2 linked regions of the Drosophila melanogaster genome follow. The gene in region 2 interacts genetically with the main gene of each other region. Each region holds a gene or a part of one and is shown on either strand. Other genes may lie near its edges.

Region 1 (15,686 bases), on a different chromosome or scaffold from region 2:
CAGCCAACTAAGTTGGTTAACTAAAAGAAGTAAAGTGTAAAGAAAGTAATTTCTTATTTCGACAGTTAATATTACATTAGGGCCCATTTAGCGCACTAATTAATCAAGGCATATCTGACATACATATGAACTTCAATACATTATAAAAAATTGGAATGGGAAAAACTGCAAGCAGAATCCCTAAACGCAAGCCGCTGTGGGAAACAATTGAGTAACGATATTAAATACAATATGCGGCAAATTATCACAAATCTGGGTAAACAATCCTGACCTGTTGTCCCGAACAGGGTCGAATTGTGGGAAAATTATGATTGCCGTAGGCAAAGCAGGACCACCACCACCAGCGCCAGCCTAGCGCTCAAGTGAATCTCGAATCTCGGGGCTTCCCACGCTCAGTAGCGGCACCACCACGATGGCAACCTTGTAGCCAGGCGCGGGCTTTCACCCCCCGATAGCCACCTCACAACAAGCCATCCCGCCGAAGGACATGGGGGTTGTTCTTTATGCTCGTCGCGTGGGAACAGCTATTTTAATTGTTTGCCTGAACTGGGATTAGACAGCTTATTGACTTTCTCCACCTCCTCGTATCTTGTTGCAGCTCTCGACTCGCTTAGCTATGATCCGCAGCGAGTGGCCATGGACTACCATATCATTGGGTTCCGCGAGTGCGCCGCAGAGGTGGCCCGCTATTTGGTCACCATCGAGGGCATGGACATTCAGGATCCTCTGCGCCTGCGCCTTATGTCCCACCTCCAGTACTTTGTGCAGCAGCGCGAACTGTCGGCCAAGAGCTGCGCCAGTCCGGGTGGCTGGTCTCCGGCTGCTCCCAGCTCCTCCGGCTATCAGCCAAACTGTGCGGCTGCTCCCTACCAGAGCTATGCGGCGCCAGCCAACCCGGGTGCCTATGTGTCCAGCTACCCCACACTAAGTGCCTCGCCCTCTCAGCAGGCTCAGCAACTGGGAGGACGCACCAGTGTCTCGCGGACAAGTGGAAGTGCCGTAACTGAATCGCTGCCCAGCCATGATCTCCACTCTGACAGCAGCAGCCAACAGCAGCAGCAACAGCAGCAGCAACAGCAGCAGCAGCAGCAACACCAACAGCAGCAGCATCAGCAGCAACAGCAACGGACGCAGACAACACCTCAGCCGACGCAGCAGCAACACTATACCCACGACCACAGCGCAGTGCATTCCGAGCAGCAGGTTCCCACCTACATAGAGCTGACCAACAGCAATCGTCCAGCGGCCATAGGTTCCGATAGCCTTAGCTATAGTGCTGCTCCTCAGTATCCGGTCAGCGGACTGCCAGGCCAGGACTACAACAACTCCAGTGTGCTGCAGTACGCCACTCCCAACGGAGCAAAGCCCTATCGTCCTTGGGGCGCCGAGATGGCCTATTGATTGTGGGCATAAGCCTCAGAAGGGATATTTCAACCTCTAGTCAGAGCAGACCAAGTGTGATAGTCTTAAGTTTCGCATCCTACACAGAGAGAAAAAAATGGAGAAACAACGCAGTGAGATTAGCTAGTCCCGTAAGCCTTTAAGCTTAAGTTATACCCTATGATAACTATAACTTTGAACACTTTGTGAATCTATTGTAAATAAACGCATGAGTGTATAAGTGAATATGTTGAAACTCGCTTGATAATTGATATTCGGATCAGGAAAGCCTTTCTAGTTGTTATATTTCGTGAAATCTCGACGTTCATACAGACGGACAGACGGACATGGCCAGATTGAATCAGGTATTGATTCCGATCAAAAATATATATATAATATATAATATATAAGAATATATATAATCCACGAGTAACGGGTATAATTATTAAAAACAATCAAAAAAGTTTAAACAAGTAGTGACGATCCACATTCAAAAATTTGAGGTATATCAATGACGCATACTTTGATTAGTGCTATTATTGGATTATCAGAGAAAATATTAATTTTAACGAACATTCTTGAGGTGCGCTTTGTCACTGCGAGGACTACCAGTTCGCCGTCATAGCGGCTGAATTATCCTTAGCTAAATGGGAACAATTCGTTGCAGCGAAAAATTTACCGAATTCTTTTTAGTTTTACACGTCAGATAGCTTAGGGTTTCTAAAAAAAAATTCCAAGAAATTAAGTTCGGTCTATGGGAGAAGACAGTTCGAGGCGCCTCCCGCGCTGGTGGTTTGGAGGGGTTTGCGCTGCAATCGCAGTCACCGGCACCCATCCGATTGATCTCATCAAGGTACAGCTGCAGACCCAATCCCAAGCGGACCGGAAGACCGTGGGGGAGATCCTTAAAGGCATACACGAGCGGAGCGGAATCTTGGGCTTTTACAATGGCATTTCGGCCTCCTGGTTTCGCCAGCTGACCTATACCACCACTCGCTTCGCCTTGTACGAGGCCGGTAAGGACTACGTCGACACGCAAAAAGTTAGTTCCAAGATGGCCCTGGCCACCTTTGCGGGAATCGTCGGTGGGATTGTGGGTGTACCCGGGGACGTGGTCACAGTGCGACTCCAGAACGACGTCAAGTTGCCGGAGGAGAAGCGACGTAAGTGAGTACTACCGGGGGCTCCTGTACCATAGATCTCCCAGACTTTGTCCATCTGTTCGTTTGTCTTCATCTCCACGTGCTTTTTTGGTTTGCTATTGATAATTAGTCATTAGGACAGCAAATTTCTTCCCCCCATACGTACGAGTCATATAATTAAGACGAATTCCGCAGCTACAAGCACGTTTTCGACGGCCTTTTCCGCATCTACAAAGAGGAGGGCGTGTCCAGTCTCTTCCGCGGCACAGTGCCGGCCGTTTCCAGGGCAGTCCTGCTGACCATCGGAACGAATGCAGCCTACGACCAAGTAAAGCAGATGCTCAAGATCGCAACGGGGGCAGGAGAGGGAGTACCACTGCACTTTGCCACATCCACGATAGCTGGATGCATTGCCGTGGTGATAACGCAGCCGCTCGATGTGATCAAGACGACTTTCATGAACGCCCAGCCGGGGGAGTTCTCCGGGATCGGAGGTGCTTTTCTGAGTACCGCCAAACAGGGCCCATTGGCCTTCTACAAGGGATTCATTCCGGCCCTGATACGAGTGTCACCCAATACGATTATCACCTTCGTTTTGTACGAGCAGGCGCGAATGCGATTTGGATATCTGCCACCTGACAAGTAGGGATGCCCCAAAATTCGTATCCATTTGGCATTTTTACATAAATTGTATTTTATACACGTGATTTGAAAATATAGAATCTTTCATACCAGACCATTGAATCGGAAGTAATCCGGGTCTAATCAGCAGCCACTGTGCTCATTAGCATCGCTGGACCAACGAGAACCGCTGACCGCTGACCATCGACCACCGACCACTAGCCGCTGGTCAGCGAGCTCTGGGGGTCAATGAATGCCGCTCACGGTTTATGAAATTTGCATACCCAGCAATAATAAACACATGAGCACCCAATCCGCGGCGGTTAGCTAAGCCGGCTGCACACTCGCTGCACTCGTAATTAGGGAGCGGGGTTAGCAAGGTGCAGGGGTCGCAACCCCGAACACCACGAGGAACGGGAAATTATCGAGGAAAACTGGAAAGCTGGCGACCGCAGGATCTTGTCCCTGCTCCAGAAACATAATCCCCAAAAGGGAAACAGTGTCACAAAGGTAGCAGGGTTAAAATATTTTAATATACGCTGGCATATTAGTTTAGTTTAGGGTGCTTTCGTAGGCCAAATGTGTTTCTAGAGGGACTGGTGGCTACCTAAGCTGCTCAACATGTTCCCGAAAAAAGGGTTTCTGTTTTGGTTCCAATGGTAAACTAACGAGCAAAACGTTCTAATGACCCAGAAATTAGATGAAAAGCGGTTAAAAACAATGCAATGCAAAATGAAACAATTGTTAGGAATGCTAGTCTAGAAACCTTTACTTAATTCTAAGTTAATTTCCTCAATTCGCATGCTTAAGAATTGAAATATTTATCGCAAATCCCGAGCTCATAGTTTAATTTAATTCAACACACTTTAGCTACTTGTAATTTGTTCTCTTGGCCCACAAAAATCACTTGAAACCAAAATTACAATTACATTGAAACCCAGCAACCGAAATTGCTGTCCATGGAGTGTGGGAACATTGCGAAACACCACCCCTGGCAATAAAAAACGAGAAACAATCTTTTGCGCATTAATTTCTTTTTGCCGGTTAAACACATATAAGTGATTCGGGCGACCTACCACGTTCGCGACCATGTGAGAGACCCCTGAGCTTTGACTTCCCACGCGGCGAGCAGCGCAACCACCACCCACCAGCGATTACAATATGCCCCAGACAGGGGTGGTTCGTCCTGGCCCAGAGATCGGCGTCAACACCATCGCCTTCGACGTAATACACACGTCAAAACTTCCAATTAGAGACAATCATTCGGATCTGGGACAGGGAACTTGTGATACCGAACCGGGGTGGTTTCATCGGTGACTACAAAAGCCATCGAGCTGGTCGGACGGATTTCATTCTTTGGATTACCAGCAGAGCAACAGGATCGCAAGGACGAAGCCCGCGGAGGGGTGGTTGCATATCATTATTATTATTATAGTTTTGTGGTGTCATCGAAAGTGCGATGATTTCGTTTTTATTGCGGTTCGAGTCAATTAAGTGGAATATTTCGCGACATTTCTGAATGCTTTTCCGTGTTAAACATAATAAAAACCCTGTTTTTGGGCACTTGTCGGCGTCCTAGTTAATTTATGCACATGTGGATGGAATGTAAATGGAAGTGCACTTGAAAGGGATTTATGATCCATTTATGTACTCCCGTGTGAGGAGTTAATCGAGAATACATAGCCCATAAATAAATCTCAATAAAATCGATTTGAATGCAACCACTGAACCCGAAAATGCCTTTTCCTCCTCACCTCTGCTGGTCCCGACCCACTCGAATGGGATGGATCTATCTCGGATTTGGCCTGTGCCATGGGGTTTTTTAAAATAGCTAGCACATCAGATCTGCCGCTCTCCCTCAAACACACACATGTGACCGTATGGAGAGTGCTTGCCATTATAGTCACTATCTCTAGTGCTCGCTCTTTCTCGTTGTGTGAACTTTAATTCTGTTTTGATTCTTCGCCTTTCGGGAAGTTGTCCAAAATCAATAGTTGCTCTAGTTTGCCAGCCGGCAGGCAGAAGTTGAAGTAACATCCCATTGTTTTTTTATTAGTTTCTGGCACTTTGGAGCATTGAGAGCTCCACGTTTTGTGATGTAACGCGAAAATGCCCTAGGAAAAGCGATCTGAGGAACACTGAACTGGGGAAATGTGGACCAGAAAGCTATTCATTGGATTCGCAAGAATGCCGGCTTCTAATCCGAGATGTAAGTGGTGGTATCAAAACACACAGGCCTTCCGAATATTCGTTTAGACCCATTTCGTATGGGAAGTATCCACGAATTACGCAAATGATGCGATTCCAACTTTATAGCAAAACGTACAATCCGACAATAACCGAGTAGATTTATTGATTCATGATTCGGGACTACTAAGATTCGTTGTGTCTTCTGGTGCGCGACGAACACTACGTGGACTATTCCGCACAGTGATATAAGTTTGGTTCATGGTGGCACCAAGATAAAGTTTAATCAAAAATATTTTTCTAGAAAATTATCGTTCCACGGAATCTTTAAAACGATTGAATAATGCGTAAACCCATTGATAGTTCACTTCATTAATAACATTAACATTAATACCGTGAACTCTAAACATAACTAAAGAAAACCACTCATATTGAAAGGCAAGCGGCTGAGGTTTAACTTAGGAATTTATTCGGAACTCTTACAATTAAGAACAAGATCAGTGCCACGGCACCTGGTTGCCGATGGTGCCCTTTTTGTAGAACTTGGCCGTGGCCGAGGCGGTAGTGGCCAGTGTCGGAGTGGGCGGAGCAGGCTCGTAGGTGGGTCCGCTGCCCTCTGCCTTCAAGACGGCGGCACAGCGCCACTGCCGGTTGTAGTTCATTCGCCACAGACGCACACAACCGTCGTCGCCCGTGGAGATCAGCATCGTGGCCAGCATATTCCAACAGACGCGCCACACTGGGCAATTGTGCTCGCTAAACTTAATGGTCTGGATGTCCAACTTGGAGATGTCCGTGGCGTCCCTTTAATTATAAAAATTATTATTATTAAATGATTTTGGGTCTTTAAATTGTCGATCTTACGTTACACCCCGCAAGTTCACAATATAAAGATCCTTGCTGGCCACTGCCAGCATGTGAAAGGTGCGTCCGGCATTTGGAGCAAAGGCCACATCCGTGACCGGATCGGTTATATCATTGACAGTATCGATTTTAACGCACTTTCGGGAATTCTCGCTGTAGGCGAATAAGAAGACCTTGCCAGTAGGCGTGGCTGCCTCGTCGCTGCCCGCCTGCAAAATAATTTATGAAAATTAGGCTTATTCTTACTCCACAGATAATAGAATTAATCCTTAATAGACTAAGACTTGGAATTTAAATATACTCACCGCCAGCAGCTGGGTGACCATGTAAGTGGAAGTGTTCCAGGACAAACAGCTCAGCGGCAATTTGTTGCTAATCTCGTGCTGCACGGGCCACTGCGAGAGGTTCATAATGTCCGGGGCCTCATAGATGCGAATAATGCCGTCGGCGGAGGCGGTGGCCAGCAGGAGTCCCAGGTACTTGGGTGCAAACTCCACATCCGTGACACTGGTCCGCGAGTCTACAAGGGTGGTGCGGCGCACCCAGCGGCGAGTGGGGGTATTGGTGGAGGATACCTTTTCGCCAATCACCTCCTCCCAAACGGAGGCGGTGCGATCAAATGAGCATGTGGCCACAACCTGGCCAAATTCCGGGTGCGCCCAGGAAACGCGCCAAATGGAGCCGGAGTGCGCTTTCCAGCTGCTCGTGACATTCCACTTGCCCTGCCCATCCTCGTCCCAAATCTGCAAGCAGAAAATCCGGATCACCTAGGCTGTTTATCGTAGGAATAATTCGAGTCCTCACCTTGACGGTCTGATCGCTGGAACAGGTTGCCATCCTGCGGCCGTAGTAGTCGAAGACCACGTCGTGTATCACATCCTTGTGGTCGGCAATAATGGGTTCCACGTCGAACATGATAAAAACTCAACTTATTTACCGAAATGTTGTTTATAAAATGCACGCGCCGAAAAATCTGCGCCGGTAATGCAGCCCTACAAGGAGAGACAGGGTTGGCTTGCAAACAGCCGCCGAACAGCTGTTGTTTACCTTGCTCAGTATTTTTTCAGTACGCCCAGGCGAACGGTCACACCGAGTTAGTGGTCCGAATTACGCGTGAAATACGAATAAAAAATCGAGCGAAAAATAACAAAACACAGTACTCTAGTCGATCACAAGCTGATAACGTATCAGCCGTGCCACACGCCCATCCGGGATTCGCGAGAACCACACTAGTCGGAGAGTCAGGACTCCAATAGCCGCCAAGAGGCCGTTTTGCACCCGGAAAAGAACAGTTACACACAACAAAATTGCCAACCGAAAGAAACGTGCGAAGCGCAGTGCGATGGAGAAGAGTAAGTGCGGTAATCTAAGCACTAAACGGGTAATTACGGCCCGATCCTATACGATACGATCCGAGCGAAATGTATGCGCATATGTGTATGCAAATGAGTGGGGTGAACAACCCCACAGCATAGTCGTATGTAGATCGGGACCCGCGTTTGTTTAGCATTTGAATTCGCTGGCTAAAGTGCGGATTTCAATCAAAGTGCAATGGGCAGCATAAATTCCAATTGCTTCCATCTGCAATATGCTCAATATGTCTTGCCTTGCTCGCCCTCTCTCGCTCGCGCACTCGCTGCTGACCTTGATTCCTATTGGATTTTACACATCGCGCGATGCCCGTGACGTATGTGTGTGTGTGTGTATGGGCGAGAGAGCAGCATAGCTGCCAACGTGTGTGTATGTCGGCCGGCATCAATTACCTAATAAGAACTAAATTGGAGACTGCATTTCTTGTTGGTATTGTATTGCATAAATACGATATAAGTATATTTATGAAATATGAGCATATCACAAGGACTCGAATCGGAAATTCAATCCAACGCAGTCACTACAAATTCGTAGTATTTTGCTAAGAAATTAAAAAACAATTTAACTGTAAACCGTGCACTTTACAGTGTCTACAAGATTTCAAGTGTGTTATCACGCACAAATCGGTTGTTTGTTGCTCTGTAGAAATCCTAGAGATAAGCACATCGAAATCAGGCGTTTCACACGCGACCGACTTTCGGTTCTATTATTATTTGGCTGTGATATCAGTAGACGGTTTTTTTCTGGCCACGCGCCAAACATGAATAATTCGAACAGAATCGAACACCGAAATACAAAAATTTCCGTGCGATAAGATGCCGGGAAAGATTTGGAATTGAGCCCGAGCCGAAACCATGAAGACCCGTCACCGTTAAGTATTAATCATAATCGGTCGCCAAGGCCAATGCCGAAATCGGAAGATTTTTCAGGCACTCGCCGCCTATCTGAGATTAAAGCGGGCGTCGCGTCGGGAATTTCTTTTATGACTTTTAAAAAACCTCTGCTGATGCCGGGAGCAGCGAGCATCACGGAATGAAAACAAATCAGCGGCGTTCGCGTGTTCTGCTCGTGGCAGCGCACTGAATTCGTTAATAATAATTCGATTCAAGTGCATCGCGCTAATCAATTTCTGGCGTTTTCGCCCATTTAACCCTAATCAGCATCGCTTGCCACTTACGCCAGCAAATTGAGAAATTATGGTCGTTGTTGTTGCTGCTTGCTGCTCCCAGCAGCAGAGTGCATTTCCGTCAGCGGTTGGGTCAACTCCCAGATTAAGTCCAGCTGGAGCAGCAACAACAACAACAGCAGTACCGAATGCCATCGGCGACCTTGACATTGAAAAGCTACCGCCGCCCATGAGACAGAGATACATGGAAGAGAAAAGAGCGGGACGCACTGCTAGTGACAGAGAGGGGTAGACGGTTGTTGGCAACAGCTGATCGCCATCATCATGTCGCTCTTATCTTTTATCAGCCGCAGACCGTTAAGGTATAATTGCTGTGCAACAGTGGAACTTTCCTATAGTGGAACTCACTGATGTTAAGCTGATTGCGATTGCCGCTGGAAGGGCATGCTTTTATGGTTAGTTTTTATGAGTTTTTAGTTTGGAAACTACGCAAAAAATCCAATATAAAACAAAATGTCATTGTAGTTATTCCAGAACTTGTTGAATCGGTATATACAGAAACCTTATTCATCACTGACGACAATAAAGAAATGATTTTGTTAAATATTTCTCTGGTGCCACTGTACCCAGCATTTATTTATTCGGACATTGTTATGGCATAATTGGTTCACAAAAAGATCACTGAAACCGACGGAGCACACTGGTCGTCATTACTTGAGCCACCTTCATAAAAATTGTTATTAATCCGGCAGGTTGCCCCGCTTAATTCGACCGCCTTTCTGTTCGAATTAGTGGCGCTCCTTGTACATATGTAGTTCTTATGTAGTACATAGTGCACATATATTCCTCCTGGTCACTTGGCGCTGGCTGAGCCAGCAATAAGCAAAACAATAACACAACAACAACAACAACAATTGGCTTGGCGACCCGCGAGACCCGCTGGCGATTAACATACGAGCGCAACAACCTGAACACGCACAAACACAGGTCCGCGCACGAAAACCTGGCCGTAGACGTAGTCAAAGCTATAGCTATAGTTGATATTGATAGTGGCGACGCCGAAGTCGGCGTCCGCTGCGCGTTCGGAGAAGCGGCGTTCAGGCATCGATAGTGCTTTTCGGACGAGCATGGCCCAGTTGAGTTCCAATCGTCGGTCACTGCAGTAGCCATCTAGAAATCGTGCGGAACCAGTCAGTCTAGGAAGTTCAAACCGATCCTACACGGTCTACTACAATCCGATCCGATCCGGTCCGACCTCGTCTTCGAAACTGCCATCACAAGCTAAACAAGGGCACACGCAGAGTGGTAAAGCGAGCTGAAACCGTAGATCTAAATCCTAAGACGAACTAAACCCAAAACACAACCGTATCATATCCAGCCAAGGTCCCGAAAAGTGCTGCCCTAGAGATAATCGCACGTCGAGTAAGATTCTTTTGTTTTCGACTGTTGAGTAATGCCAGCAGAGTTCTTATCACAGGATCGGTGGTAAATAAAGCACAATTAAAAGACTCCATCCATTGCGAGGGTGCGCACTAACGGAGCTACTTGAGTACGGGACCGGGCCACACCTGTTGAGTCGTTTCCAGCGCAGAGTGTAACCCAAGTCCCAGTTCTCTGCGCGATTTCCGAGTAAGCGGTTACATAACACCCCGCTGGTTGCCAGAGATCGATTCCGGTGTCCAATCCGACTTTCCGTGTCTTTCAATGCCCGCCGCCTGGCTGGCACACTTACACACGTGCACACATGTATACTGTAATGCCAAAATCATTGACCTCTTCTGCTGGCCATACCACACCGATTTGCATTTCCTCACACCAACCAACCAACTGGGGGGGTTTTGTTTCTGTCAGCTTAAGTTTCTTCAATTTTCCCTTCGCGCTCTTCGCCGTTTTGTTTTAATTTTAAATGCGCTGCACATTGAACCTCATATCCGAAATTAATTTTCGTGTTTTTAAGTTTTATCGCCCTGCCAAAGGGTATCTAAAGTAGATTATTTAGTAGTGAAGCCATCTTTGACCCGGAAACAGCTTGAGCTCCTGTATTTTCGTATAGTATATTGAAAACTTTGATATGTACTTAGATTGAAACTTTTCAAGTGATATATGCAGGTGTAATAGTGTTGATTAAATCGTAATTCGACACCTGTCACTAATTACGTAGTTGCTAAACATAATATTCACTTGCGCCTTTACAACGTACTTTGAAATACTTATTGCATACTTTTGAAGTCACCCGCTTGATCTGTAGATTAGTTTGAATTTCCCGTAGAGTATACCTTATTCGTTGACCACATCTCTTATCAGCTGCCTCATTGACCTGGCAACGATTTATTTTTGGGTCTCATATGGTTGTTTTTTCGGTTTCTTAATTGTATCTCGCAAACTAGTTAATGCATTGATTAGCATTTTCATTTTGTTTTGTTTCGCCGCTTTGGCCTACAATATCGTGGCAAGGTTTTTGAACTTGAAAAGTATCCGAAACAAGATGATGCACAGGCACTTTCACTATCTACACACTGTAAACTAACCCAGCTAGCTGGCCACCAGATAGCAGATTATCTAATCCGATTTGCATTCACCGATTTAAAGCAGCTTTTTGGATTTAGCCGATGTTGATCACGATATTAGGCACTCTGGCTGCTTTTCTCGCATTCCTCTTGACATTGATCTTTGGCCGCGGCCAGAAAAGATCCAAACCCGTCCAATCGTCTGCAGCAACATCCGCCACGACAGCAACAACTGGCGACAGCGACAACGGCAACACCAATCGTAAGAATCCCCCACTTTGCTAAACCGAAACACTTGAAGGGCACACAAATCGCACACCTAGCTGATAACCCAGTTTAATTAGTTCATTATGTGTATACGACTTTTGACCACGACTCACGCGTACCTTGTTTTCCTTATCTCTGCTTACAGACAACTCCAGCGTGATTGCAGCTACAGCAACGGCAACAACCACCAGCAGCAAGCCTCCTATTGCTCCAGCAGCACCTCCTTCGGCGGTAAAAGCGAGTGACAAGCGATTCCCCAAGGCGTGCATCAAGAAGGTCCAGTTCTCCAGCGAGAGCCTCCGGTCCGACGTGGATGAGCTGTGCGACCAGCTGAAGGATAGCGCACTCAGCAATCTGAGCAACGACAACATTCGCATTGCCTGCCACCAGAACAACAACAACAGCAGCATCAACAAGAACCAGAACAACAACAGCATCGACATCAGCATCAGCATCAGCAAGATGAGCGAAACAAATGAGTCCAATGACACGGCCGCCCAATCCGCCGAGGGCGAGCGGCCCAGCTTTTTGGTACGATTCATCATATTTCCCATCTCTTGGCACCATCACTCAGCCACCGTTTCCCTTCCACAGGTGGGTGATGAGATCGACGAGCGGGCCGCCGAGGCGGGCGAGGCATGTGACGAGTTCCCCCTGAAGATGCAGAACGATGTCCGCCAGAATGGCGATATTTCCGAGCGGCGCAAGCGGTTAAGGTAAGTCGATTTGGGTTTAGCCCAAATGAAAATGGGACAGAAAACATCAGAAGTACATTATGGTTGTGGATAGAAAGCCATTTATTAGACAGAAATTTCTTAAATGAGATTGCGGTCTTTATACTTAGAATTAAATACATTGAAGATAGCATAAGGATATATATGAGGACTTTTAATAATCTAGTTTGTTATTCATATGATTATGATAGGCTAAGCAAGCTATTGTATATCATCATGTTTTCTTTGATTTAAATTAGAAATCCAATAACAAATAGCGCTTAATCTAGTTTAATTGATTCAGTTCAGCATTTCCTCCCAATCTTATCTTCATAATGCTTGCAGATTAGGACTTTTTGAATCTGGCAACCCATCCACTTCAATTAAAGCTATTCTTTCATTTAGACACTTGAGAATTGAAGCGTTTATAGCTCAAGATATGCAATCCATCCCCAATGGCGCCCACATTTGCGCTGAGTGTATCGAGCAAAACAAAAACAGGTGGCTGCGTCACAGCCAAACGCCGCCAAACATATCGCGTGAGTTTAGGGAAAAGAGACAGCGAAAAGCTCGCGACCGTGTGTGCGAGTGGGAGGCAGTCTCTCACCCAGCTTTCCGAGAACTTTCGCGGTGCGCAAACATGGAGAGAAAAGTGGCGGCAATAGAGATAGAGAGTGCCATGTGGGAACGCCGCATTTTGTTTTCATTCATATAATGTTCAAAACTCGTTTGGCCAGCGGCTGGCTCGCTCAGCGGCTCTCTCCGCTTCTCCGGCCCACGGGGCGTATGAGCGATGGTGGCCAACACCGCTCTGCGGTTCAGTTCCCTGGCAGTCGTCGGCTCTGTCGGTCCGCAATCCGCTTTCCGCAAACCCCAGAAGTACGGCAGATATACCCCAAGACCCAGCCCGTTTCCCAAATAAGTTTCTCGCGTGTGCGGACCATCGTTCGACATTGATTTTTGTGTGTGAATATTTCGGCCAGCGGAGCGCGGTGAAAGTGGTGCAGTGGCATTAAAATATTTTGTGAGCGGCTCGCTTATTAGTCACACTTGCATAATTGCGAGGAGCCGCTAAAACACCACGACGATCCCCCTGCCAGAGTTCACTTTGGATGCTATTGGCCCTCGTGGAGCTCATTAGAATGTTGAAGCGTCGCGCCAGCAAGCGTTTCGTACTTGTTGAGTCCGGTGAAGATAATGCCAACGGCTCCGGCTCGGCCTCGGGCTCTGGCTCGGGATCAGGAGTGGGAACGGCGGTTATACCCCAATTTGTGGCTGTGGATTGCGGGCAGAACGAGAGCAACAACAACCATGTCGGCGAGATGAGTGCCAGCATCAGCAATCACAATAGCTCCAACAACCAGTCGTCGCCATCGCTGCTCAGTGTGCCCGTGGTGGGAACCCTCAAGTAAATGCCATGTTTAATACCCCATTTGTTTATTGCAACGCGATACTAGTTGACAAGATGTAAACAAAAGCGAATTATGTGCAGATCTTTTGATCATGTCAGCCAAACCGGTTTGTCAAATCTCATTGTGCCTTCCGTTTCTTCGCCACCTGTCCCATCGCGCCATAACTTACACTGGCCAGCATGAAAAGTGTTTTCAGGGTTCAGTTGGTGATGCAGGCAAAGCTTAACTTTTGGCTGGGTAATATAGTAAAAGATCTAAGCAAACATTGAAATCATCATCTTTAAGTATTGAAAGCTCAAAAAAATGTTTTTCAAAGTAAGGTGAGAGTAATTCCTTGGAATTTTACAACCACGTTTATGACCCAGTTTCTTATATAGCTATATTCTCAATTGAAATCTTAGGCCGGTTTTTCCCACATTATATCCCAGCAACTAACTAACTCTCCTTTCCCTGACCTCTTCCAGGCCGAGTATGTCGCGTGGCACAGGGCTGGGCCAGGACCGGCACCAGGATCGCGACTTCCACATCGCAACCACCGAGGAGTTCGTGAAGCGCTTTGGCGGCACCCGAGTGATCAACAAGGTCCTGATTGCCAACAACGGTATCGCGGCCGTCAAGTGCATGCGATCCATCCGGAGATGGGCGTACGAAATGTTTAAGAACGAGCGGGCCATTAGGTTTGTGGTGATGGTCACTCCGGAGGATCTAAAGGCGAATGCCGAATACATCAAGATGGCGGATCACTATGTGCCCGTGCCCGGCGGATCGAACAACAACAACTACGCCAATGTCGAGCTCATCGTGGACATTGCTCTTCGCACCCAAGTGCAGGTGAGTCCGGAATCTGGGGGCCACCGCCATAGAAGTGGCCAGTGTCGGCTGTGCCGAGTTGTCTATTTGCCTTGGCCAGCTCCACCCAAAACGCATCGTACGATTCGTATTTGCACTCCGTCAATCGGGGGAACTGGCAAAGTCAAGCGATCGCCCCGCATACCAATAAAGAGACCCCCTATTCGTATACGAATATGTACTCGTGTGTTTACGAGACGGCCGGCATTTCTAAGCAGATAACTGTGTGTGTGTGTCAGCCAACACTGTGCTACAAAATTAGACAACATACTCCTGGGTAGAGAAGTTTTTAGCGATCTACAGCCCAGTCCCGTTTCCGAAATATATAATATATGCTCGAATGCAATTTAAAGGTATTTTGTGAAAACCTTTGACACTGTAAACGGTTGTACGTGTCAATTGCCAATAAACAAATAAAATTACACGTTTTGAACGGACGACTCACATACAGTTGGAAACAATTAAGATTCGTTAAAAGTGTAAAGTTTAAGTATCTAAGAGCTTCCAAATGCACAGCGTGATTTTACCTTACTGCGTATATTAGCTTTAATCTTTAATTGCAATTCCAAGATCCAACACTAGCTCTTTAGCAAAGTACGCTGTGAAAAAAAAAAAAAATGCGAAAACTAACATATTATTTTCCTACCTGTACATATAGTATATAAAAACCCTGTTGAGTCTAAGTGGCAACAGCTATAAGTAATACAATAGTGTCTGCTTGTTGCAATTTAAGAGTTGTTCGAGTGACAGAAGATTGCCTTCAAAACATTGGATTGCGCACACCTGTAATCTAAAACCCTTCACCATTCCGCCTCCCAACGGAGCTTAGATTAAACTGCATTCGCAGTACTTTCAAGTGAAAATTCAACCTTAGGTGTTTACTTTCCCTTAGATATAGCAGGGCGCTGGGGGTTAATTAGCAGCCGCCGACGACGACGACTCTTGTTGCACAGTGTGAATTATCTATTTTGTTTTGCTATCCGGGTGTTGCCAATGAACGTCGCAATGACGTCACGATTGATTTTTACCGACAATAAAGCTCCATAATTTTCCCCACACCCGCGACGAGTGCGCCGTCCTTGGGGCATTGGGCTTATTAAGTCAAAATGAACTGATTATTAACCTGTGTTCGAACCTTTCTCGATTGCAGGCCGTGTGGGCTGGTTGGGGTCATGCCTCCGAGAACCCGAAGCTGCCGGAGCTGCTTCACAAAGAGGGTCTGGTGTTCCTTGGCCCTCCGGAACGTG
Region 2 (15,143 bases):
TGTTTAACGAATTTAAAAATAGAATTTTTCCAATCCCGATTTTGATCCCTAGACACGGTTTTATTTTTTTCTGACAAATTTTTCTATTTTAATCTTGAATATTAGATCATTCGCGGTTTTTTCGATTATTTTTTATTGAAAGCTTAGCCAGAAAGAAGTGCATCCAATATTTTAAATTAAAAAAAAAAACATTTAATCTCAGCACTTTGGTCACACTAGATGTATAAAATATCTGTATAATCATGTGCACCCTGTGCACGCAATAAAAATTGTAATTGCTATCGATATTTAAAATAATATTGCAAAATCAAACTAAACCTCTTAAGTTACAAAATCGAAGCACATGATATTTTATTAAAATAAAGAAGCAATTCTTCAGTAAGTGAACAGAAAAGATATTTCTTCTAATAAAGAAATTCTTAAATAAAAGAAAATGTTAACGGATTACATAGAATTGCGAATAATTTGTAGAATAAAATACTACCATGACAAAAAGCAAAGAACTTTGATAAGCTCTTATTACAAACTAGAAAGCTCTTCAACCGATTAATACCGATGTTTTTCACGGCGGCGTTATCTCCTCACCCATAGAAAGTTGTTGTTAAAGCAATCGGACTATTGAGCCGGCAGAACAGTTTAATTCTTCGAAAAGATAGGTAGTATACTAGAGTCGGGATCAATTAATATTCCAGACAATTCTCTGGTGAATTCTCAAGAATGCAAGTGTTTTTAGCTTTAGCCCTGCTCGCAGGCTTGGCTTTCTCAGGTGAGTTATAGACGTTAGAATGCTAAAGTGTTTAGCCAAACAAAGAGTAATTGTTTCTGCGTTTGTGTGCGCTTTAAACTAATGCACACATGCATATATTAAAACAATCGAGGTCATCGTTTTAGGATTGAAACTTTAGCTTATCATCATTTTTTTTGCCATGAAGTATATTTAAAAAGTAAAAAGAACATGTTTTTATTAAACTTTTAAATTAGATCAAATAAACGTAAAAGGGCATGTACTGCTATTTTGACCGCAGCTGTATATATACGAAGTATATAAGCAATGGCGTGAGCTTAAACCTCGATGGCTGCCCTTTACCGTTTCTTATTGTCAAGTTCCCGCTCATTTCTCATCTGAATCTCTCCACACTTTCGCCAACGACAATAGCTAATGCCACGAATCCGCCGAAATGGGATCCAAACTACATAGTCAAAGGAACCCTGTACATTCCGTACGCCGAGATTGCGGAACCCTTCTACGCCTGGTATGACAAGAATACGAGGCGATCCCGCATCGATTACTACGGCGGAATGGTGAAGACATACCAACTGGCTGGCGAGGGTCAGTACGGAACCCTGCTGAAGCTGGCACCGATTACCACCAAGACGGAGAACAACAAGCTAACCTGTCTGCAGGTGAATGGCACCGCCGACCAGGCTGTCGATATTCAGAGCATCCTGCCCGATGCGAAACCTTTCAGCCTGGTGGGCACCGAATCCTTTTTGGGCTACACGTGCGACAAGTTCCGCCTGGAGTCGACAATTGGCCAAAAGAAGAACATCTATACGCTGTGGGTGCGGTACAAGAAGTCGCCGCATTATCCCTCCAGCCGAATGCCCATTCCCGTGCGCTACGAGATGAGGGGCTATAACACCCTGCTGGGATCGCACTACGATCATTACTACTTGGACTATGACAGCTACGAGCACGATGATATTCCCAACGAGGTGTTCGAGATCGATGACAGCCTGCAGTGCGTCGGATTCCCCGGACCCGGCACCGGTCACTATGCCACCTTCAATCCCATGCAGGAGTTTATATCCGGAACCGATGAGCATGTGGACAAGGCCTTCCACCATTTCAAGCGCAAGCACGGAGTTGCTTATCACAGCGACACGGAACACGAGCATCGCAAGAACATCTTCCGTCAGAACCTGCGCTACATCCACTCAAAGAACAGGGCCAAACTCACCTACACGCTGGCCGTTAATCACTTGGCCGACAAGACCGAAGAGGAGTTGAAGGCACGACGAGGATACAAATCATCGGGCATTTACAACACCGGCAAACCGTTCCCCTATGATGTGCCCAAGTACAAGGACGAGATTCCCGACCAGTACGACTGGCGGCTATACGGCGCTGTCACTCCGGTGAAAGGTGGGTTCATTCATTCCCTAAGTACTTACTTAGATGAATTTGATAATATTGAATTGCTTAAAACGTAAACTACCCTTAGATCAATCTGTGTGCGGATCGTGCTGGTCATTTGGCACCATTGGTCACCTGGAGGGCGCCTTCTTCCTGAAGAATGGCGGCAATCTGGTCCGGCTTTCCCAGCAGGCGTTGATTGACTGCTCGTGGGCCTATGGCAACAATGGCTGCGATGGTGGCGAGGATTTCCGCGTGTACCAGTGGATGCTGCAGTCCGGCGGAGTGCCCACGGAGGAGGAGTACGGTCCCTATCTGGGCCAGGATGGCTACTGTCACGTCAACAACGTGACGCTGGTGGCACCTATTAAGGGATTCGTCAATGTGACCTCCAACGATCCAAATGCCTTCAAGCTGGCTCTGCTCAAGCACGGTCCTCTGTCGGTGGCCATTGATGCTTCTCCCAAGACATTTAGCTTCTACTCGCACGGAGTTTACTATGAGCCAACGTGCAAGAACGATGTAGATGGACTGGATCATGCTGTCTTGGCCGTGGGCTATGGCTCGATCAATGGAGAGGACTACTGGCTGGTGAAGAACTCGTGGTCCACCTACTGGGGCAACGATGGCTACATCCTGATGTCGGCCAAGAAGAACAATTGCGGTGTTATGACCATGCCCACTTATGTGGAGATGTAGATTGTCCCGCTCCCGCCTACATATTTCTTATTTTGTGTACTCTTTTTATTTTTACGCCCACAGGGCGCTAAATATGCAATACATTTCATAAACTCTTTTGTAATCCAAGTCTTTTGAATCTTATCACTGCTCCGCTTGGCTGGAAATGGAGCTAAGTTTAGCTTGGGTCATTATCTCCGCAGTCCATGGTGTTTCTTAAGTTAATTCCATGCCGATAAGCCGATAAGCCTAGAAGACAATGACCAGTTACCAGTTGAACTTTGCGCAAGTTGCAACAGTTTTATGCGAATCGGGGTCTTTGCCATTTGTAGTGGAAATCATTTCTACAGTAAAAACTCGCTACATTTTTAAAAATTTTAATCATTTAATTTCATCAATATTAAATTAAACATATAATTAGTTTTAAGAATCTTTACTTTGAATAATGATTCTAAAAATAAGTATACCTTCTTATTTAAAAAACTTGCAAGCAAAGCATTGAATTTTTACATTAAACCCGTTTTACAGTTTTTCAATTAAAATAAATTAAAAATATAACATGAAGAATACTTTCAACTGATTCTACAATTTTCACTGCTACTACATTTCATTTTAGATTAATTGTTCATTTTAAATAATATATTTATAAGTTAATTTGATATAACAACAAATAAGTCTAAATTTAAATACATATTTATTGGCATAGATGTTGCATCCCTGGAATTGCGCCAATTGGTATTTTTCTGTTTTGGCTTGATGGTCATCCGATACAGTTTAGTTATTCTTTTTGAATTGTATTTGCTTGGAATCGAAGGAAGCAACGAAGCCATGGATGAATTGGTGAAGATGTGCCGGGTGTGTATGGACGAGCCGAAGGACCTGCTAGACATCTACGACAACAAGAGCTTGGGGGACAGACTGAGCGACGATCTACAGCGAACCAAGGAACCGGAGCCCACGCCGGCTGATTTGCTGAATATCTGCAGCGCATATCCAGTGGATACCGGGGACGGCTTTCCGCTGAAAATTTGCGAACCGTGCCTTATTAAATTGCGTGAGGCCTTGAGATTCAGGAGACGCTACACAAGGACCATGGAATACGTGGCGCGCGTGAAGAGGGAGCAAAGCGACAAGGAGACATGCGATCTCCTGGAGGCCGAGGATTGGGATTTTACGGATCGCATCAAGAGCGAGGAGGAGGAGGAGGAGGACGATGGGGACCGGAACGATAAGCAGCCGAAGAAGGAGACTCGCAACGAGGTGGATAAGAGGCGGCCCTTCAAATGCACCGACTGCCAAAAAAGTTTCACCGGCAAGGCCCAGTTGACCATGCACAGGCGCACCCACACCAAAGGATCCACAAGGACCAGACGAAAAGCTCTTAAATAGTCCTTGGCAACGCTTGGCAAAATGTAGCCAACTAAAATAGTAATTAATCATCTTGTATCATCGTTTTAAAAATAAGTTCGATATATTTTTAAAGTAGAAACAAGTTAGCGACTAATAATGAAAGTACATATGGAGTGTAGTTTTAAAAACAATTTCATGTTCTCATATTGACAATAAGATAATAAAGAAATGATAATCGGATCGATTCACAACAGTTTTTAAGCAGCTTTCTCACTTTGGTTGCGATTACTAGCTTTGTCGATTTCAAACAAGAAATTATTATATGGACATTCAATATATGAAAATACCTTTAACAAATCTTAACTATTTAAACTTATTTCTTTTTGTTTCTTGGCTGCTCGTCCGTCGCTTCCCTCGCGTGTGTGCTGACATGTGTTTTTGTAGGCCGTTTAGTTGCTTGAAGCTTTGCTGACATTTGGAACATTTGAACGGCTGTTCGCCAGTATGAGTCCGGGTGTGGACTTGCAGTTGCCCAACTTGCCGGAAGCGCTTGGGGCAGTTCGGACAACCGAAGGGACGCTCGCCGGTGTGACAACGTGTGTGGCTCTGCAGGTTGCCCTTCTGGGCAAAGGATCGCGGACATAGGGAGCACTTGTAGGGTCGCTCGCCAGTATGTATGCGCATGTGAATCTCTAGGTTTTGTTTTTGGGTGAACGACTGTGTGCAGAGCTTGCACCGATATGGTCCGGGAACCCTTTTCGGTTTGCCCCGTTTTGAGGCGTTCCAGATTTTATCATCATCTTCGTGTTCAAGCTCACTATCCGGGCTCCATGAGTCATTGTCCGAGTAGGATCTCGCCCTCCTCTTGGACTTATTGTGTGGCGTCTTTGCTGGAGAATAACTTTGCGCGAGCTTATGCTCATTGTTGTCTGGAAGAGGAGAAGATATTGGCTTCGGCTCTGGAGGCATGTACTTAACCTGCACAAGCTCAACTAAAAGAGGTTCGGATGTCTCCGGCGTTTTACCAGCTTCCATTACCGAGACCGGCATCTGTGGTTCTATGTTATCCCCTATATTCAGGCAATACTCTATATCGTCCAGCTCCTTCATCATCAGACGCAGCTGTTCAAAGTACTGATGGCTCTTTCGGCATTGCCGTCTTAGCCGATAGGCATTTCTTACGGCCTCCGCACACTCCACGCAGATGAACTGCGGCATTCCGTCCTCCTTATGCACGCTGCATCCGCTGCATTCCCTCAGCATTGTGGCCAAGACCGGCTCCTGCTCCTGGACCCGATTGGAGGAGGCATATGGCTCTGTATATATATCCAACAGGCAGTCGGATTCGTCCCTGCAAACGCGGCACATTTGCGAAATGTCCATCGTGGCCGAGCTCCAGAGTTTCGTAGGCAGGATCAAAAATATACAATATCAACAAAATGCAACTATTAAAATACCAATCACTGGAATATACCAACAAAAAAATACCGAATAATCAGCTGTGCTTCGCATCTTATTAATTTATCAGCTTTGATTTATGATTTAAAGTTGTTTTTTTAAGTTAAAAATGGGTTTTTCGTATTTTTTAAATATTTTATTTTAATCTGGCTCTTAGAGCATCAGAATATTCCCCACTTATCGATATACCTTAAAGCTGTACAATGGGCGCGAAGCTTAAAATGTAACGCTGTTTTGAATATGAGTAATTTTTTGAATTTGTATGAAATCACGGAAAAACATAGTTTGACAATAATTGAATTGAACTTAAGAACTTGCTTGTACAAATAAATAACAAAATATGTAGTCTACAAGCGTAAATTGATTTGCTTCGCAAACTTTACAAAATTAGATGCATACCTATTTTATAGATTATATTCAAAAACTAAACAAAAACATTCAACATTAAAATCTAGGAATGCAAATTCGTCCCAAACTCTACTTGGTATTGTACATGGATGCAATTGCAGGATCTTCGGTTTCGTAAATGATAAGCACATCCCTGAATTTATCAAGCAATTGCAGCAGTTGCGAACGTCGCAGGTTCTCGAAGTACATGATCTCCTCCAGATGATGCTCGCTCTTAAAGTAACCCATCTGATACAGCTTCACAAGCAGAGATAGATCATCCACGTTGGCAGAGGCGGGAATTCGACGGATGGCGGCTCGATCCGCATCGCTGAAAACCTGTAGCAGCTCCTTCAGCTTCTGCTCATCCTCCATGGAATCGAGGCTGTCGCAATTGTCCGTGCTCATCGAGGCGGTGATGCTGAAATTGGACTTGTGGCTGGATGATGGCTGCACGGCGATGTTGTCCGAGGCCAGTGATGAATGGTCCTCGGACGCCTCACGACGATGTCCGCCCACCAATACCGCTGGCACTGGCAACGGATGACTGGACATGCTAAGCATGGAGCCATGCAACTCGTCCGCATCTGGTTCTTGGTCTCCTTCTTCATCGCTAATGGCATCCCTTAGATGGTTGCTGCAGGAGGCCGAATCTCCGAATTCATCCTCGCTGGGCATAAACTGAACGTACGTGTGCAACTGCATGAGCAAATGGTGCTGCAGCATCCAAATCACCATTTGTGCGAGGATACCCTGTCGCGCTGGCTGCTGCAGTGGCGTGGTTAAGTGTCCAATTGAAGTGGGCAATGAAAAATCGGAGATCACCTCGAACAGCGACATACCGGCAAAACGGGCCGAGAACTTCTCCACCAGGTGGGACTTGGTGTGCAATGGTGCATCCGGCGCGATCACATAGACATTTGTCTCGCAGAGTGGATAAATAATAGTTGCCTTAGCCCAGTAGACCAAATGCGAGACGAGCTTATAAACATGCTCGATACTCAAGTCTGCATTGGAGGACATGCTCTGCAGACTGATCAGTGGGTCGTAGACGTCGACTAGCTGCCATAGCATGCGTGCCCCAGTCGGTGGAACGCAGTCCAACAATTCGGCAAAGTCGACCAGCAGCAACATGCCATGATAGGGCTTCAGTGCACGAAGGCACCGATCTATGGTCTCTGGATCCACCATGCTGCCCTTCTTATGGAGCTGGTGTGCCTTAGCGGGCAGACAGAAGCACAACGTTAGGTTGTGATTCAGCGAGGTACTCAGCAGTCCAGTGGTGCATAGATCATGGAAGATGGAGCGCAAGGCCTGTGCCAAGCTGCAGCGCTCTGCAATCAGCTCCAGTGTGCGTTCCAGCGGCTGTTGCTGCTGCTCGTCGTGTGTGCGAGCCATTTGAGCCGTCTGCTCGGTGAGATAGCCACTGCGCTGCTCCTCGAACTTCAGCGCCAGTCCAAGGCGCTTGCTCAGTTCGTGGTAGCACTTAACAATCGAGTAGCTGGCCTGTGCATGCAGCGCAAAAACAATGTTGATGAGCATCTGTTGCTTGGCCATTGGACCACTTCTCTGCTCCTTTTGCGGTATCAGAGTGGGATGACTGACAAAGCGTACGTCGTTCAGTTTGAGTTCAAACTTTTGGTTGCATAGCTGTGGTTTAACAGCAAACAGAGCGGACAGGACCTCATCTGCGAATCCCTGCAGTTGTCCTTGGCTCTTGGCAGCACCCAAGTGGGTGGGTGTCTGCAGCAGATCGTCCGTATTGGCCACGGCATAGGGATTGCGCTTTCTGTGATTGAATAAATCGGTATAGTCAAGCTGAGTGCCCTTTGAATTAATAGGTAGTACCTGGACTTCCGCTGCTCGTCGTTGGCCACCTCCGTTTGGCCGAGAGTCTGGTACGGATACCTGTACAGTAACCGATCCCCCTTGCTATCGAAGTAAACCAGGATTACGGCCAGGGGATTCACATTAGTTTCCATGGCACACAGACACTTCCCCTTTTATGTAAATTAAAATATGAACATTTGCATTATCAACTGGGGTCAGGGTCAACAAATAGTTGGCTATGTTTTCAAAAATACTTTATAAATCGTAGTTTGCTACAGAAACTACCTCAACAACTCTTTATTTATTTATTAGTACCTCAATTTGACTTCATTGAGAAATGGAAGCAAAGTAAATAAATGTAAAATATAAAATATATTTACAGCAGTGTGGCTCTCTTTTAGTTTGCATAAAATACCAAAAACTTATTTAAAATAGTAGTCATGTCAGTTTTCATTTTGCAGGCGAAACAATAATATAAATGCAACGCAATGGAATTTTTTTAAATCGTTTAAATTTACCATAGATACCTTAGATAATATATTCAAAAACTAAAAAATACTAAACGAAAAACGGTCTTACTATATAAATAAATATATATCGGCAAGGCTAATAGTATAGGATCCCTGGTCGAGCGATAACGATCTATCGCTCCGCTGTAGTGTGACCGTCTTCGGTTGGTCAGTCTCTAATTTTTTAGAAGCGGAAAGTTGTGAGCAAAACGTGTGGAAATTGTGCTCGAAACGTCAACAAAAAATTTGTGAAAATAACTGGGAGCGTAGTATGCGAACGCGGCAATCGCAGAACTATGAAATTCCCCTGTGAAACATGTTAGTTTGGCTGTAAAAGCACTTTTAAAAATGACGATTTCTTATTAGCGTGTTGGAAAAGAGGAAAACACACACATTGTGAGAGGCAAAATACGTGCGGATCGTAGGTGGGAGCGAGACGACGCTAAACGTGTACTAGCCGCGGTCTATATATACATATATATAATATTTGTGTGAGTGTAGGAGAGGTATAACTAATTCTACAAAAAAATATAGTTTACTTGGCTGAGTGGTTCGCTTCTGAATTAGTTTCGCACTCTTCGGCAGTATGGTGGCCAATAAGTTAATTTCAACTAATTGTCATTTACTTGTAGGTTTGTTTTTCTACTATGTCTTCGTTTCTGTATCTATTCCTTGTATTTTGGAAAATAGGATTAATAAGTGCCTAAAATGTAAATAGCTTGTGGTTAAATAGTTAATAACATAACTATTTTACTTTTTGTGTATATGTGCGCCAACATCCGTGTGTATAGATTTTACACATACCTACGTAGAAAGGCATGCACAGATATACGTTTGTGTGGGTATCAACGAATAGGCGGAAAGGCGAAATCGAAATATGTACGTACAGCATTTCGGAATGGCCAGGCGCAGTAGTAATAGGCTAAACAGGGAAACAGCGCAACACAAAAACCAAGAAGAAGAAGCAGGGCAGGCGAACAAAATAAAATAGGCGATAATAGTCAGTTGGCATGTCTTGTCCATAGGCTAGAACGGTCACACTAGCTATATGGTCTGCTCAAACCGACTGGTCGTCTCGCTCTTACACACGTCTTAAGCAATCCCAGTTTATGTGTTTTCCTGCGCGTTTTGTCTTCTGCTTCTTGTGCCATACGGTATTAATAATAATAAAATTGATTAATCAAAGTAGAAACATTTTAATTTGTGCAGGTAGTAAACGTTCGAAACAACGTCGCGCCATCACTTAAATGCTGCAAATCAACAATGTGCAACGGAACAAAAAAGAACCAGTGTTAAAGTGTATACAAATTTAATTTGTATTTATAAAATTGAAATATAAAGTTTCGAAATAAAAAATAAACCACGTAGCTTGTCGTTAAATTAAATTAAGTTGTGCAAAATGAAGTGAAAATTCAAAATAACAGAGTAAACGGTGAGTAAAACTAGTGTGTGTGTTTGTATGTGAGTGCGCGCCCAAATCGGAAATATTTTGAATCGAAAAATATACAGTCGAATGGGTTATACATATCTATTGGATCACATATATATGAAATTCAGATTTTATTTTGAGTCGAGCCAGTTAAATAAATATTTCATTTGTTGATGCGTCGATTTTGTATGGTTTTTTTTTTTGCATACTGTGTGTCGCCATATTTGATTGCATATTCTTTTTTCAACTAACCGTCAGTATAGCGTGCTCGCTCGCACAGCTTTGCGGGTTCATTTGTTTTGCTTTCGATTCCGTTTTGTGCAACGTGAAGGTAGATGTGCGTATTATGCCCCTCGCACAGAGTTGCCAACCCGAAGCAATTGTTTTGTTAAATTTCAAGTTGTTTTTAGTTTGTTTTGCTCGAGTTTCTAAGGAGATTATCTAAATCAGTATTAAAATCATATTTCGATTTGGCACACCCCTCCGCATTTGGATTGCAATGTGTATGCCGTGCAGTGTTTTTGTTGTCTCTACCAAAATTTTGACATGCGCATCAGCTAGTCGGAAAAACTTAACAACAAATCGACCGCAAAGTGAAATTAAAGTTGATGAGAATTAGTTGAACGATATCGACGACGCCATGTTGTTCCCATTATCCAGAATGTTAGCACAGAGCTATATAGTTTTTATTTTATTTTCTTTCGCCCTGTTTTCGTCAAACTTTTTATTGCGTGCTCCAGCGTTTACACGCCTGTACGCCGTGAAGTTGGCCGCAGTTAACATAGCTAAGTGTTAGTGTGTGTGTGGGGAGAGCTATGGTGGTCTCGCTCTCGCTTACAGGCATTGCTCGAATGTTCCTGTTCTGCTCTTTGCGCATACGTGATTTTTGCAATTGTTATTTATGCCTTGTGCTTTGTACGCGCGAATTTTCGCCACAAAATGAAAGCAAAAGTTGATAGACAACTTTTTGCCTGCGCTCGGCTTTCGTTATTTTCTGCGCAGCGCAGACAAGACCATCGTCAAAATATTATTTCGCGAAAGCTAAGCCATTCGATAATTTCAAAGGTTGTCGCGGAACGAAACCAAACCGCCACAACCCCCTAAAACCACCTCCCAACCCCACAGATTTTTTTAATGGTGTAATATCCATAATAAAATCCCATGCAGTCTCAATTCTTGATTAGTAATTGACCGAATTAGACGGACCAGAACTAGCGAGCAAGTGAATTAAAATAAGACGCAATTAAAGTTGACACTTTGTAGCTGGTATGCAAAAACTAAAACCCATTTTACGCTTGGCGACTGTTTCAATGAAAGTACAGCCAAAGCAATGCCCCTGATATTGTGCAGTCACGTAGTCCATTGGTCAACAAGCTAATATGAGCAGCATTACTATTTTTAATTGTAGGTTCATTTTTATTCCGTAGATCACAATAGGAGTCTTTCTCTTTTCGACTCACTCGTTTAGATGTGTGCGTCTGCGAGCCTCGATAAGCTTTGTATTTGTTCTACTTCATCTAGCGATGCAACAAAAGCCATAGCAACAAAAAGAAATCCCCAACAAAAACGACACGAAAGCAGTGGCGGATTAAAAATCCTGCTTGCGGGGAAGCTCTCGGAATTTAAAGAAAACAGCAAACAAAACTTAATTCTTTCGATAATATTTTGTTGATATAATGAATTAGATTTTGGCGCATATGTATATCCCAAATGAACCCCCTTGGAACCGCCCCTGTACGAAAGCACCGTGGCCACTTTTCATGTGTTTGTGTGCTCGCGATAAGTTTCAACGTGCATTTGCAGGCACGATTTACGGGGATCTGCTGCTGTCTTGCTCACACCCACGAACCGATAATGCGCGCGAATGGGGCTTATTGTGTGAGCTTGTGTGTAATTTGTTTATGGCGCGCATTTTACTTGCGGATGTTGTTGTTGTTGTTGTTGTAGTATTTGTTGGGGTTGGGGTAGGGTTGGTCCCGCACACGTGCGTGTGTGTGAGTGTAGTTCACCTTCTTTCCGACGATGAGCGAACCAAATTCTCCTTCGCCCCTCGCTCTTTCGTGTGTATTTTTAACTAAGAGCATTGTAAGATTCTTTCTAAATGTTGAGATGTAGCGTCGATGCTAGTGTGTGTATTTGTAACCCAAATCAAAATTTACGACAGCCCCAACCGCTCTATGTGTGGCGTTATCTTTTGTGGCCCATTGAGAAATATGAAACAAAACATGTAACGGAAATGAGAAATGCATACCACAGTCACTATCAAAGAGTTCTAAGCTCAACATCCTGGCTTATCAAAACGCAGCTTGAAGTTGAAAAATCAGTTTTATCGATTAACCTGGTGGTGGCCTTTACATATGTAGTTGCATCTTGTATCCCACAATCTATAGGCAGTAACCCAATGGTTACATAAGCATTTCGTTCCCAGATTTACTATTCAATTGGGGAATCAATTGCGCTGCTCCCCATTCTCTATTCCAATTAGAAACTGTATCTACAATAGGCGCAAATTGGCTGCCAGCACAATCGCACAAGCAGTCGCACACACACGCAGGTGGGATATGGCAGATATGCCCAAGTGCAAGTGGCCTGTGTAATGTGTAATAGATACAAGAAACTAAAAAGCCAGCGACAAAAGCAACGACAACAGAAAAACAAGAAGAAGAAAACTACTAGCGATGAATGCCGCGCCGGATGCCAAGGCGAAATTAGTGCATTCACTTTTCGCTCCGCTTTGCTTTTTTGCTTTGGCTCTCTGCTTTGCAATGCGAATGACGGGGCAAACGCCCGGAATGTGCAGTAAATTAGAGAATTAGAGAACAGTGGCAGTACTTGGCAAATGTCGACATCTTTCAGAGACGGTCGTTTTTTGAGGTGTAAGCGTTTAAAAACGTTTAGTAAATTGATTCCAATGATAGAAAATGAAAGGTCTTTAAATTATTAAAAAATCATTTATTAGTGACCCAATAGTAGATTCCATAGTATAAGAACATGTAATATCTTAACCTTTACAAAGCTTATCAAGTTAGCAAACTTGTAAAATAGTCGAATGTTTATTAATTGATTTGGGACGCATATTGCGTTGGAAAATTGCATTAGCCTTTCAGCGATGCGGATAAACAAAAGCAAAATAGGAAAACTTGTTTCCACAAAAGCCAAATGAACAAGTGCTAAACGTTGTTAGTGCTTTTTTTTATTGGCCAGGGGGGTCACACTACACCTACACACATCCACGTATTCAGGCACACGCACACAAGTGTAAACAATGCACAATCCCTTTGTTGCTTTAGCTTTGGCGCACCTTTCACACTGTTTCTGCTTTGCTGTTTCGCTGCTTTTCCACTTTTCCGCTCCGTGATGCTGCGTTCAAGTTTACAGCAAGTGCAGCAGCCACCACGAAGCACATTCCGAAAGCGTAGACGAAAATACATACGTAGAATAAACGCGGATATTGATGTTTGAAGTGCGCATGCGTATTTTTGGCGCCCGTTGGCAGTGCTGTGCTTTTTATTTTGTTACATAACTCAAATCTGATTTGCAGTTGGCAATGCTACTCCTGGATAATAGAGATGAGCTCCTTAACTTTTATCGATAAAGGCAATGTACCCGTGGTACACTAGAAAATAAAATCTGAACTTTACATCCGAAGATATGCATCCTTGTTTTAATTTTTTGCTTTAATTATTTTCTAACATTATTTTACATTTGTTTGTTTACCACGTTTTTGTTTAAAACAGCTAAGAATTAATTTTTAAATTGGTACTTTTTATTGTTAATAGTTCTGTATGGCCTATATTTAATAGTTATATTTTTACTCATTGCAGATACAACGAAATATCGTTTATGGAAAGACCGTATCCAAAGAATTCAATATCCAACATACAACGACGGACAACAACGCAATATCAATTGGGCGGGACTATTAGTTTTGCGAGATTGGATCAGCTTTAGGATAAGGCTCCGTATACAGGGAGTCAAACAAAGGACGCAAAAGCGAAGAAGCCGGGGAGCACGCAGTGGAAGTTGCCGAATCTCTCCCAGCGTTATGATTGTGATGGCTGACAATGTGATGTGGCACAGAGTTGGACACCGTCTATGCAAATCGAGCGCGCACCACCGCCTACGCCTACAGTTGTCACCACTGGGAGTTTCAGCTTCCGTCATCCGTGCCAGAGCCAGAGGTTATGCATTGAGCCCCCAATGTTTTGGGGGCACGTCAACAAAGGCCCAGCGACAGCAGGAGCAGAATCTGCATCAGCAGAACCGGCAGCAACATGACGGCTTTATCTGTGAAGTAGTGTTGTGAAATAGAAACTAAATCGAGACCGAAACCATACTCTATCAAAAGAGTGAACTCTCAAGCCGAGCCAAGGCTCCTTCCCTGTAAACACACGTCTAATTTTAGTTAGCGGACCAAACTGCCGCAGCACCACCACCATGCCCATGTCCAGTCACGACTCGGTTTTCGTGGAGCCTGCTGTCAGTAGCAGTGGCGGCGGCAGCACCAGCAGCATAAATCGCATCGGAGTAGCCAGTGGGCCACAGCCGCCACCCCCTCATATCGTCATCGATGGCAGCAGCTTGTCCACACAGGCACAACTGCGCATCATGCAACGTCGCATGTCGATAAGTACGCGCCAGATCCTTAGCGCCAGCCAGTCTCAGTCGATCAATCAGTCGCAAAAGTACGCGGTGCGTACAGCAGCCGGAACCGGAGCTTTAGCTGCGGGGGCAGCCTCTTCGGGGAGCTCCGGTCAGGAGCTAATTAATCCCCAGATCTACAAGATTGTGACCACGGACGGTAGCACCAGCAACGTCATCATTGACGCATCAGCTGCGGCACCACCGCACAACTCCAAACTGTTGCTTAGTAATCTCACTGTGCTCTCCAAACAGGCACCAGTCCAAGGAGCAGCCGGTCAGCAGCAGCAGCAGCTCAACTATCTGGGAGCCAAGAGTCTGCCGTATGTGAGTGCGTCGCCGGCTAAGACGCAGCAGCAGCCCCAGAAGTTTGGCAGCATCAGCGCATTTAAGGCGCAACATCAGCAGCAGCAACAACATCCTCATGCTACCCTACAGAAAGTGACTTTGGGCTCCAGAGTGGCAACCCGTCTCCAGTCGTACGTCCCGGCATCACCGTCGCAGATAATGGTGCAGCCGGCGCAACCAAAGTATGTGAATGCCACGGCGACAACGATAGGTGGGAATGCTGCTCTGCTCAAAAAGGCCAATCAAAAGATCACGGTCAAGAGTGTTAGCAATATGTCACAACAGCAACAACAGCAGCAACAACAACAGCAGCAGCAACTACTACAGGCTCAGCAGCTAAAAACCTTTATCACGCAGCAGCAACAGCAGCAAACCT

Evidence for each region.
Region 1: of Nprl3 (region 2) and Nup44A, changing one suppresses a phenotype caused by changing the other (phenotypic suppression), as found in Drosophila melanogaster (one study listed by BioGRID).

The regions. Positions count from the first base shown.
Region 1 is NT_033778.4:7,981,376-7,997,061, reverse strand, and holds Nup44A (nucleoporin at 44A), read right to left. Parts: upstream 8,601-15,686; 5' UTR 8,553-8,600; intron 8,531-8,552; exon of another isoform or gene 8,435-8,530; intron 7,547-8,434; exon of another isoform or gene 7,348-7,546; intron 7,231-7,347; 5' UTR 7,110-7,230; coding exon 6,999-7,109; intron 6,938-6,998; coding exon 6,500-6,937; intron 6,404-6,499; coding exon 6,195-6,403; intron 6,135-6,194; coding exon 5,828-6,134; 3' UTR 5,779-5,827; downstream 1-5,778. Other genes in the region: Hey (Hairy/E(spl)-related with YRPW motif), read left to right, coding at 599-1,401; Dic3 (dicarboxylate carrier 3), read left to right, coding at 2,135-2,547, 2,718-3,168; ACC (Acetyl-CoA carboxylase), read left to right, coding at 11,301-11,460, 11,611-11,996, 12,060-12,181, 14,055-14,421, 15,590-15,686. UniProt on the Drosophila melanogaster protein: Probable component of the nuclear pore complex (NPC). Involved in maintaining the localization of another nucleoporin Mgtor to the nuclear envelope of early meiotic female germline cells.
Region 2 is NT_037436.4:13,993,635-14,008,777, forward strand, and holds Nprl3 (nitrogen permease regulator-like 3), read right to left. Parts: upstream 8,247-15,143; 5' UTR 8,156-8,246; exon of another isoform or gene 8,011-8,155; 5' UTR 7,993-8,010; coding exon 7,859-7,992; intron 7,800-7,858; coding exon 6,101-7,799; 3' UTR 5,746-6,100; downstream 1-5,745. Other genes in the region: CtsK1 (cathepsin K1), read left to right, coding at 718-766, 1,157-2,146, 2,226-2,836; CG17361 (uncharacterized protein), read left to right, coding at 3,572-4,204; CG17359 (uncharacterized protein), read right to left, coding at 4,529-5,548; upSET, read left to right, coding at 14,216-15,143. UniProt on the Drosophila melanogaster protein: An essential component of the GATOR subcomplex GATOR1 which functions as an inhibitor of the amino acid-sensing branch of the TORC1 signaling pathway.